Macaca mulatta: one gene and its partner. The protein of the gene in region 1 purifies or fractionates together with the protein of each later gene. This does not show direct contact. Links are inferred from orthologs where the notes say so. Each region holds a gene or a part of one and is shown in the gene's direction. Other genes may lie near its edges.

The links. The genes of interacting proteins can lie anywhere in the genome.
Region 2: the proteins of CBX5 (region 1) and SENP7 purify together in Homo sapiens (affinity purification with mass spectrometry; 3 studies listed by BioGRID and IntAct, with this or other methods). This does not show direct contact. The link is inferred for Macaca mulatta from reciprocal best matches to the Homo sapiens genes CBX5 and SENP7.

What each region holds. Positions count from the first base shown.
Region 1 is NC_133416.1:61,432,406-61,436,057, reverse strand, and holds part of CBX5 (chromobox protein homolog 5), read left to right. Parts: intron 1-3,417; coding exon 3,418-3,518; intron 3,519-3,652. UniProt on the Homo sapiens protein: Component of heterochromatin that recognizes and binds histone H3 tails methylated at 'Lys-9' (H3K9me), leading to epigenetic repression. In contrast, it is excluded from chromatin when 'Tyr-41' of histone H3 is phosphorylated (H3Y41ph).
Region 2 is NC_133407.1:182,227,924-182,231,575, forward strand, and holds part of SENP7 (sentrin-specific protease 7), read left to right. Parts: intron 1-301; coding exon 302-641; intron 642-2,048; coding exon 2,049-2,206; intron 2,207-3,652. UniProt on the Homo sapiens protein: Protease that acts as a positive regulator of the cGAS-STING pathway by catalyzing desumoylation of CGAS. Desumoylation of CGAS promotes DNA-binding activity of CGAS, subsequent oligomerization and activation.

The sequences.
Region 1 (3,652 bases):
GAGTAGCAGCCACAATCATCCCTATTTATCTTCATTGTAATTAGATATATACCTTTCTAGAACATTAGTTCCTAACCCTGTCTACACATTATAATCACCTGGGGGGTACGTTGAAAAAATTTCTAGTGCCTAAGATGCACCCCAGACCAGTAAAATTAGAATTTTTTTTTTTTTTTTAAGACAGAGTCTTGCTTTGTCACCCAGCCTGGAGTGCAGTGGCACGATCTCACTGCAACCTCTGCCTCCTGGGTTCAAGCGATTCTCCTGCTTCAGCCTTCCTAGTAGCTGGGACTACAGGCACATGCCACCACACCTGGCTAATTTTTTGTATTTTTAGTACAGACAGGGTTTCACCATGTTAGCCAGAATGGTCTCAATCTCCTGACCTGGTGATCCAACTGCCTCGGCCTCCCAAAGTGCTGTGATTACAGGCGTGAGCCACCACGCCTGGCCTCTGTCATTTTTAAAAAGGAGCTGTCTGAATAATCTGGCTTAGAAGCACTGGCCAGTGCAGAGAGTTTTTGTTCTTAGGCCAGGTTCTGAAGCTGCCAACCTTGAAAACAACCCCCACATGTCCCTTACATCATAATGTTCATCTGGGGCCCCTGATAGCATTCTTAGCAGTACTGGCTGCTGTCAGGTAGACAGCTGAGATGATAGGTGATTGTATGTTTTAAAGGTACAGGAGGGGATTGTGTATCTTTTTTAAGACCCCTGGAGAAGAAATTTGTTAGTTTGCATTATGCCTGATTTAAGATTACTGCCTGTATGATGATTTTAGCATTTTCTTCGCCCCGGCTCCTTTTCAGCAACTTGAACATTTTTCTTCCATTTGCCTCCCCTTCCCTCCCTATGTAGCAAACTATTTTCAGTTGCCAGTTATGATTTACAACTTAGTCCATGTGCCAGCATTCCAGCTGTGAGCAGCTGTGTGAACATCTGGGAACTTCTTCCCCGTAAGCGCCCCTAAAAGAGGCTATGTTTTTAAAAGTCAGTATCTCTCATTGATCCATGCATGGAATTTCCTTCCAATTGTGGATTTTGGTATCTTTGGGGACCACCCGGACCCCAAATGCTTTGTATGTCTCAGAGGAAAGCAAGTGAACATAAGATCAAAGAGATTTTATTATGAAAATCAGGCAGTAGATATTTAGTTCATTTGGGCACCTCTAAATCTTTTTTTTGTGTTGTCACTGGAGAGGCTAACATTATCTTCCATAATAAAGTTTTTAAAAATTCTCTAGTTTAGGCCGGGTGTGGTGGCTCACACCTGTAATCCCAGCACTTTGGGAGGCTGAGGCATGTGGGTCACTTGAGGCCAGGAGTTCGAGACCAGTGTGGTCAACATGGTGAAACCATGTTGAAAATACAAAAATTAGTCAGGCGTAACTGGGTGTGATGGCTCCCGCCTGTAATCTCAGCACTTTTGGGAGGCCGAGGTGGGATGGATCACCTGAGGCCAGGAGTTTGAGACCAGCCTGGCCAACAAGGTGAGACCCCCATCTCTACTAAAAATGGAAAAATTAGCCAGGTGCAGTGGCATGCACCTGTAATCCCAACTACTCGGGAAGCTGAGGCAGGAGAATCACTTGAACCTGGCAGGCGGAGGCTGCAGTGAGCCGAGATTGCGCCACTGCACTTTAGCCTGGGCAACAGAGGGAGACTGTCTCAAAAAAAAAAAAAAAATTACCTGGCTTGTATAAAATTTTGCTTTTTGGCTCTCATCAGTATTATTACACCTGGATTAGAACCTGTGCTCCTTGTCTAGATTGTATTACTGCATTTAGACCAAGTTTCAGTACTCATCTCATCAATTATCAAATTTTCTTCTTTCTGTCTTAAGAGACAGGTTCTCACTATGTTGCCCACCATGGAGCACAGTGGCATGATCATAGCTCACTGCAGCCTCGAACTCCTGGGCCCTGGGCCTCAGCCTCCTGAGTTGGAGTAGCACACTTCAGGTGTGCACCACTGTGCCCAGCTAATTTACAGAGACAGTTGCCTATGCTGGTCTCCAACTTCCAGTCTCCTCCTGTCTCAGCCTCCCAAAGTGATGGGATTACAGGCATGAGTCACTGCACCAAGCCAGTTTTTTGTTTTTGTTTTCTTTTTTGTTTTTGTTTTCAATCACAGTCCAGTTCTGCCTTCTAATGCTAGCAATCATCTACATCCAGAGGGGATAGGCATTGACCCAGGGCCTTCTGTCCAACCAAGCATATAAGTATTGGTGTTTGTGATCTCTGAAATTTTGCTATTTAATAGTATTGGCCTTGCATAATTCTTATCTCTATTCTTTCATAAATATAGGCGACTGTGAAATGTGTTAAAATTATTGGTTAGTGTTAAGGTAAACTAAAAGTCTAAAAAAATAAAGATTGAGAGAGAGGTAGTATATTTGAAGTTCATAAGATGAAAAGATATAGTTAGGGTAAACAGGGTATTCTTTAACATTTCAGAAGCTTATTTACAATATTAAGGAGATTCCAAGTGAGTGGGATTAGAGGAATTCCTAGATGTTGACTCCAGAGTATCTTTTTTTTTTTTGAGACGGAGTCTTGCTGTGTTGCCTAGGCTGAAATTCTGTGGTGCGATCTCTGCTCACTGCAATCTCCGCATCCCAGGTTCAAGCAATTCTCCTGCCTTAGTCTCTCGAGTAATTGGGGTTACAGGCACCTGCCACCACGCCTGGCTATGTTTTTGTATTTTTAGTAGAGATGGGGTTTCACCGTGTTGGCCAGGCTGGTTTTGAACTCCTGAGCTTGTGATCCGCCCGCCTCGGCCTCCCAAAGTGCTGGGATTACAAGCGTGAGCCACCATGCCTGGCTGACTCCAGAATATCTTATAGGACATTAGAGACTTTTAGGGTTCACCTCCAATCTTCTGGAGGAATTCCAGGAAAGATAATCACATCTTTTTTTTTTTTGAGACGGAGTCTTGCTATGTCGCCCAGGCTGGAGTGCAGTGACCGGATCTCAGCTCACTGCAAGCTCCACCTCCCGGGTTCACACCATTCTCCTGCCTCAGCCTCCCGAGTAGCTGGGACTACAGGCGTCCGCCATCTCGCCCGGCTAGTTTTTTGTATTTTTTAGTAGAGACGGAGTTTCACTGTGTTAGCCAGGATGGTTTCGATCTCCTGACCTCGTGATCTGCCCGTCTCGGCCTCCCAAAGTGCTGGGATTACAGGCTTGAGCTACCGTGCCTGGCCGATAATCACATCTTACAAAAATATCTCTTGGCATCACTGTCACTTCATTGTCACTGTCAGTACTTAGTATTAAGTTCTAAAAATTTTTCTGAATTGGTGACAGAAATGATATCAGGAGATATTAACTTAGGTTGTGTTTTGTTGAGCCTAGAAACAGGGAGTTTCTTTACTCTTTCCACAAGCTGTAACCTTTCTTCGTCTTCTATTTATAGCAGAGCAATGATATCGCTCGGGGCTTTGAGAGAGGACTGGAACCAGAAAAGATCATTGGGGCAACAGATTCCTGTGGTGATTTAATGTTCCTAATGAAATGGTGAGAGAGATTTGGCTTCATGTTACAATTGTGTTTCTTTGCCAGTGACTTGAATTTGTGCGGAAGATAGGGTGGCAAGATTGTGTATTCCCAAACCATGAATTTTCAATGTCAGAGATTTTTTTTTTTTGAAA
Region 2 (3,652 bases), on another chromosome or scaffold:
CATCTTCTCATTCTAAAGTTGACTTAGATCGTGGGAGATTGTCTGACAAAGCATTTGTAATGATGGAAATCTCCCAATTTCACCTTTTAAAAAATTATCAGGCATCCGATTGGACAGATCAAACCCCATATCTTTATACTTGGGAGACATTGGCAAGTATAATGTGGTATAATTGTTTAGTTTTCTATCCATGTAGTTACAGAAGTGATAACAATATTTTTACTTTTTTTTAGAAATTTAAAAATGGTTTAAGCAAGCCAAATTTGAAAAATACTATTTTTTTCTATGTGTTTATGTTTAGAAAAAACAAGAAGATGACTCAACAATATCCACTGAGTTTGAAAAGTCAAGTGAAAACTGTCATCAGGATCTAAAACTGCCTGAAGAAATTACAACTAAACCTACAAAAAGTGATTTTACTAAACCATCCTCACTTAACAGTCAGGAGTTGACTTTGAGTAACACCACCAAAAGTGCCTCTGCCTGTTCAACCACTGAAACTGTTGGGAACTCTAATTCCATTGATACTGTGGGGATTTCGTCCCTGGTTGAGAACGATGAGAATGAGTTGAATACAATAGAAAAGCCTATTCTAAGAGGACATAATGAAGGGAACCAATCATTGATCTCAGCTGAACCAAGTAAGTGACAGGAGGATTATAAAGTTACTTAATTTCCTCTGCTTCACTTAGTTGTTTTTTTCTTCCTCTTGAACAAATTTGGCTAAGGCCATAAGCTGTTTATGACATCATTGTGGAATATATTAACTTTAGGGAAAAAAGGCTTGGGGTTTGGAGTTTCCTTCATGAGTTTTAAAATATTGGTTTAGGTAAACTAATGGAGGACTTGAAAACAGAAGTAATTTTTTCTTAGATTCGTACACAGTAATCTCACTCAGTAGTTTTAAAATAGATTCTTTAAGGACCATCATTAATGTCATTTGGTTGATGAAGTATGCAGAATTTAAGTGCTATCTAATTATTATCATTAATTTTGATTTAATCAGCTTCTGAGTAGTTGATGCCGTCACATGGTACAAAGAAATTCCAAAGGTTTTAAAGGATCTCCAGCGAATAGTCTCCCACATCTTCCCCTAGTTATTAATTTCCCATTCCTTGAAGCAATTCATGTAACAGGACTTAAGGTACAATTTAGAGTGATGGCACAATACACTGTGAGAACTAGCATTTGTTCATAAGGCTTCCTCATGGCTTTATCCATTTTTAAACATCTTTATTCTTTAGAAGGTAAGGGTGCAGGTAACTGCTGAATAATTGCACTGATACGGAGTCATTGTCTATAACTACTGTAAATCAGATAACAAATGATAGGCCTGTTTCTAAATTGAATAAATTTAGGTGATTAAGTTTAACAGGATTATTAAAAATAAATTGCAATAATTACAAAGTTCTTTTTTTTTTGAGACAGAGTCTCGCTCTGTGAGCTAGGCTAGAGTGCAGTGGTGCGATTTCGGCTCACTGCAGCCTCCCCTTCCTGGGCTCATGTAATTCTCCTTCATCAGCCTCCTGAGTAGCTGGGATTACAGGAATGCACCACCACGCCTGGCTAATTTTTGTATTTTTGCTAGAGACAGGGTTTCACCATATTGGCCAGGCTGATCTTGAACTCCTGACCTCAGGGAATCCACCCACCTCAGCCTCCCAAAGTGCTGGGATTATAGGAGTGAGCCACTGCACCCAACCGAAAGTTCTTTTTTTGATATGTGATTGTTACACATTTGAAATACATTTTTCGGCTGGGCGCAGTGACCCATTCCTATAATCCCAGGACTTTGGGAGGCTGAGGCAGGAGGATCACCTGAGGTCAGGAGTTTGAGACCAGTCTGACAAACATGCTGAAACCCCGCCTCTACTAAAAACACAAAAATTCGCTGGGTGTGGTGGTGGATACCTGTAATTCCAGCTACTCAGGAGGCTGAGGCAGGAGAATTGCCTGAGCCGGGGAGGCAGAGGTTGCAGTGAGCCAAGATGGGAAGACTGTGTCTCAAAAAAAAAAAGAATAAAAATACATTTTTCTTTTCCTTTTAGTTGTTGTTTCCAGTGATGAAGAAGGACCTGTTGAGCATAAAAGTTCAGAAATTCTTAAGTTACAATCTAAGCAAGACCATGAGACAACTAATGAAAATGAGAGTACTTCTGAATCAGCATTGTCAGAACTACCGTTGATTTCACGTGAATCTGTACAGGTAATTTATTTCTGTCTTCTCCCAGATTAACAGTGAAATATACACTATTGGTTAATGACTGTTACTTGTTTTATCAAGCTGAATATTGTAATGAAAATTAGAAATTTTCTTAGTTTGAATTTTGAGACAACTTTTATAGCAGTTTGAATGAAATATGTAGTTGTCTTTATTTTGAAATGAAAAGATTATACCATTTTTTTCTGGTGATTTATATTTTTTCAGTCTAAATATTCTATTACTTGAATATTTTTCTTTTTTTCTGGCTTTCATTGGACATTTCACTAACATTTTGTAGAATTAAAAACATTTTCTAGTATTTATATGTCTGGTCTTGGAGTATTATGGCTACTTGGAATTACTCCTTTTCCTCACATATTACGAAGGCAGTATGATATAGAGGAAAGAACATGGCTTTGGGGATATAGGTCAGAAACCTGTCAAATTTGGTAAGTCCTCTGCCTCTTCATTCTTATAGAAAATAGTAAATGGAAGTGTGTTAGTTTAGTATCAGTCAATTAAGTCAGTCCTTTGAAGAGAGTAGGTCTAAAATAAGGTTCAAAACATTTTTTGTCAGTATTTGTTCTTTCTTTCTTTCTTTTTGAGACAGGGTCTTTTCTGTCACCCAGGCTGGAGTGCAGTGGCATGATCATGGCTCACTGCAGCCTCAACCTCTTGGGCTCAAGCAGTCCTCTCATTCAGCTTCTCAAATAGCTGGGACCATAGGCTCGTGCCAGCATGCCTGGATAATGTTTTTAAAATATATATTGTTTTTAGAGATGAGGGTCTCCCTGTGTTGTCCAGGCTGGTCTGTTAACTACTGGGCTCAAGCATTCCTCCTACCTCCACCCCCCAAAGTGCCAGGATCACATGTGTGAGCTACTGCTCCCAGCTGGTACTCTTTCTTGTTATTAGCCTCTGATTATTCTATTTGTAAGAAAAGATCATTGACCACCAGTGCAGAATTATGGTAAACTTATCTTGTTTTGTTTTTGAATAATGTCAGAGGCTGTTATTTTGCAGAGTATGATGAAGAGTTGGCCCGATCTATGAAAACAGTTTGGTCTGATTATTGTTTCATGGGTATTTGCTTTTGTATTTGGTATTCCACGTAGAAATCACTTCAGCAGCTTTGTTCTGAAGTTTTGCAAAAATGTAACCATTTTTGCCAGATTGAGTCAATATCCTACTTGATGGTTTAGTTGCATGTATAATTAAAAGTGTCATTGTTGATAATGAATTTAAACTTATAGAAGAATTAGGCCTTGGCAGGGTATAAATTGACAATGCAGTATGAAATGATCATATTATAAGAAAATAACATATCTTTTAGAATTTACTAAATTCATAATCACAACCAAGCAGCCAATACTGTGGAGATCTACCATAAGGCAGAATGCCACATTTCTGTGCTCTCTCTTGTTCCAGTTTTAAATGAATGATGAGAAG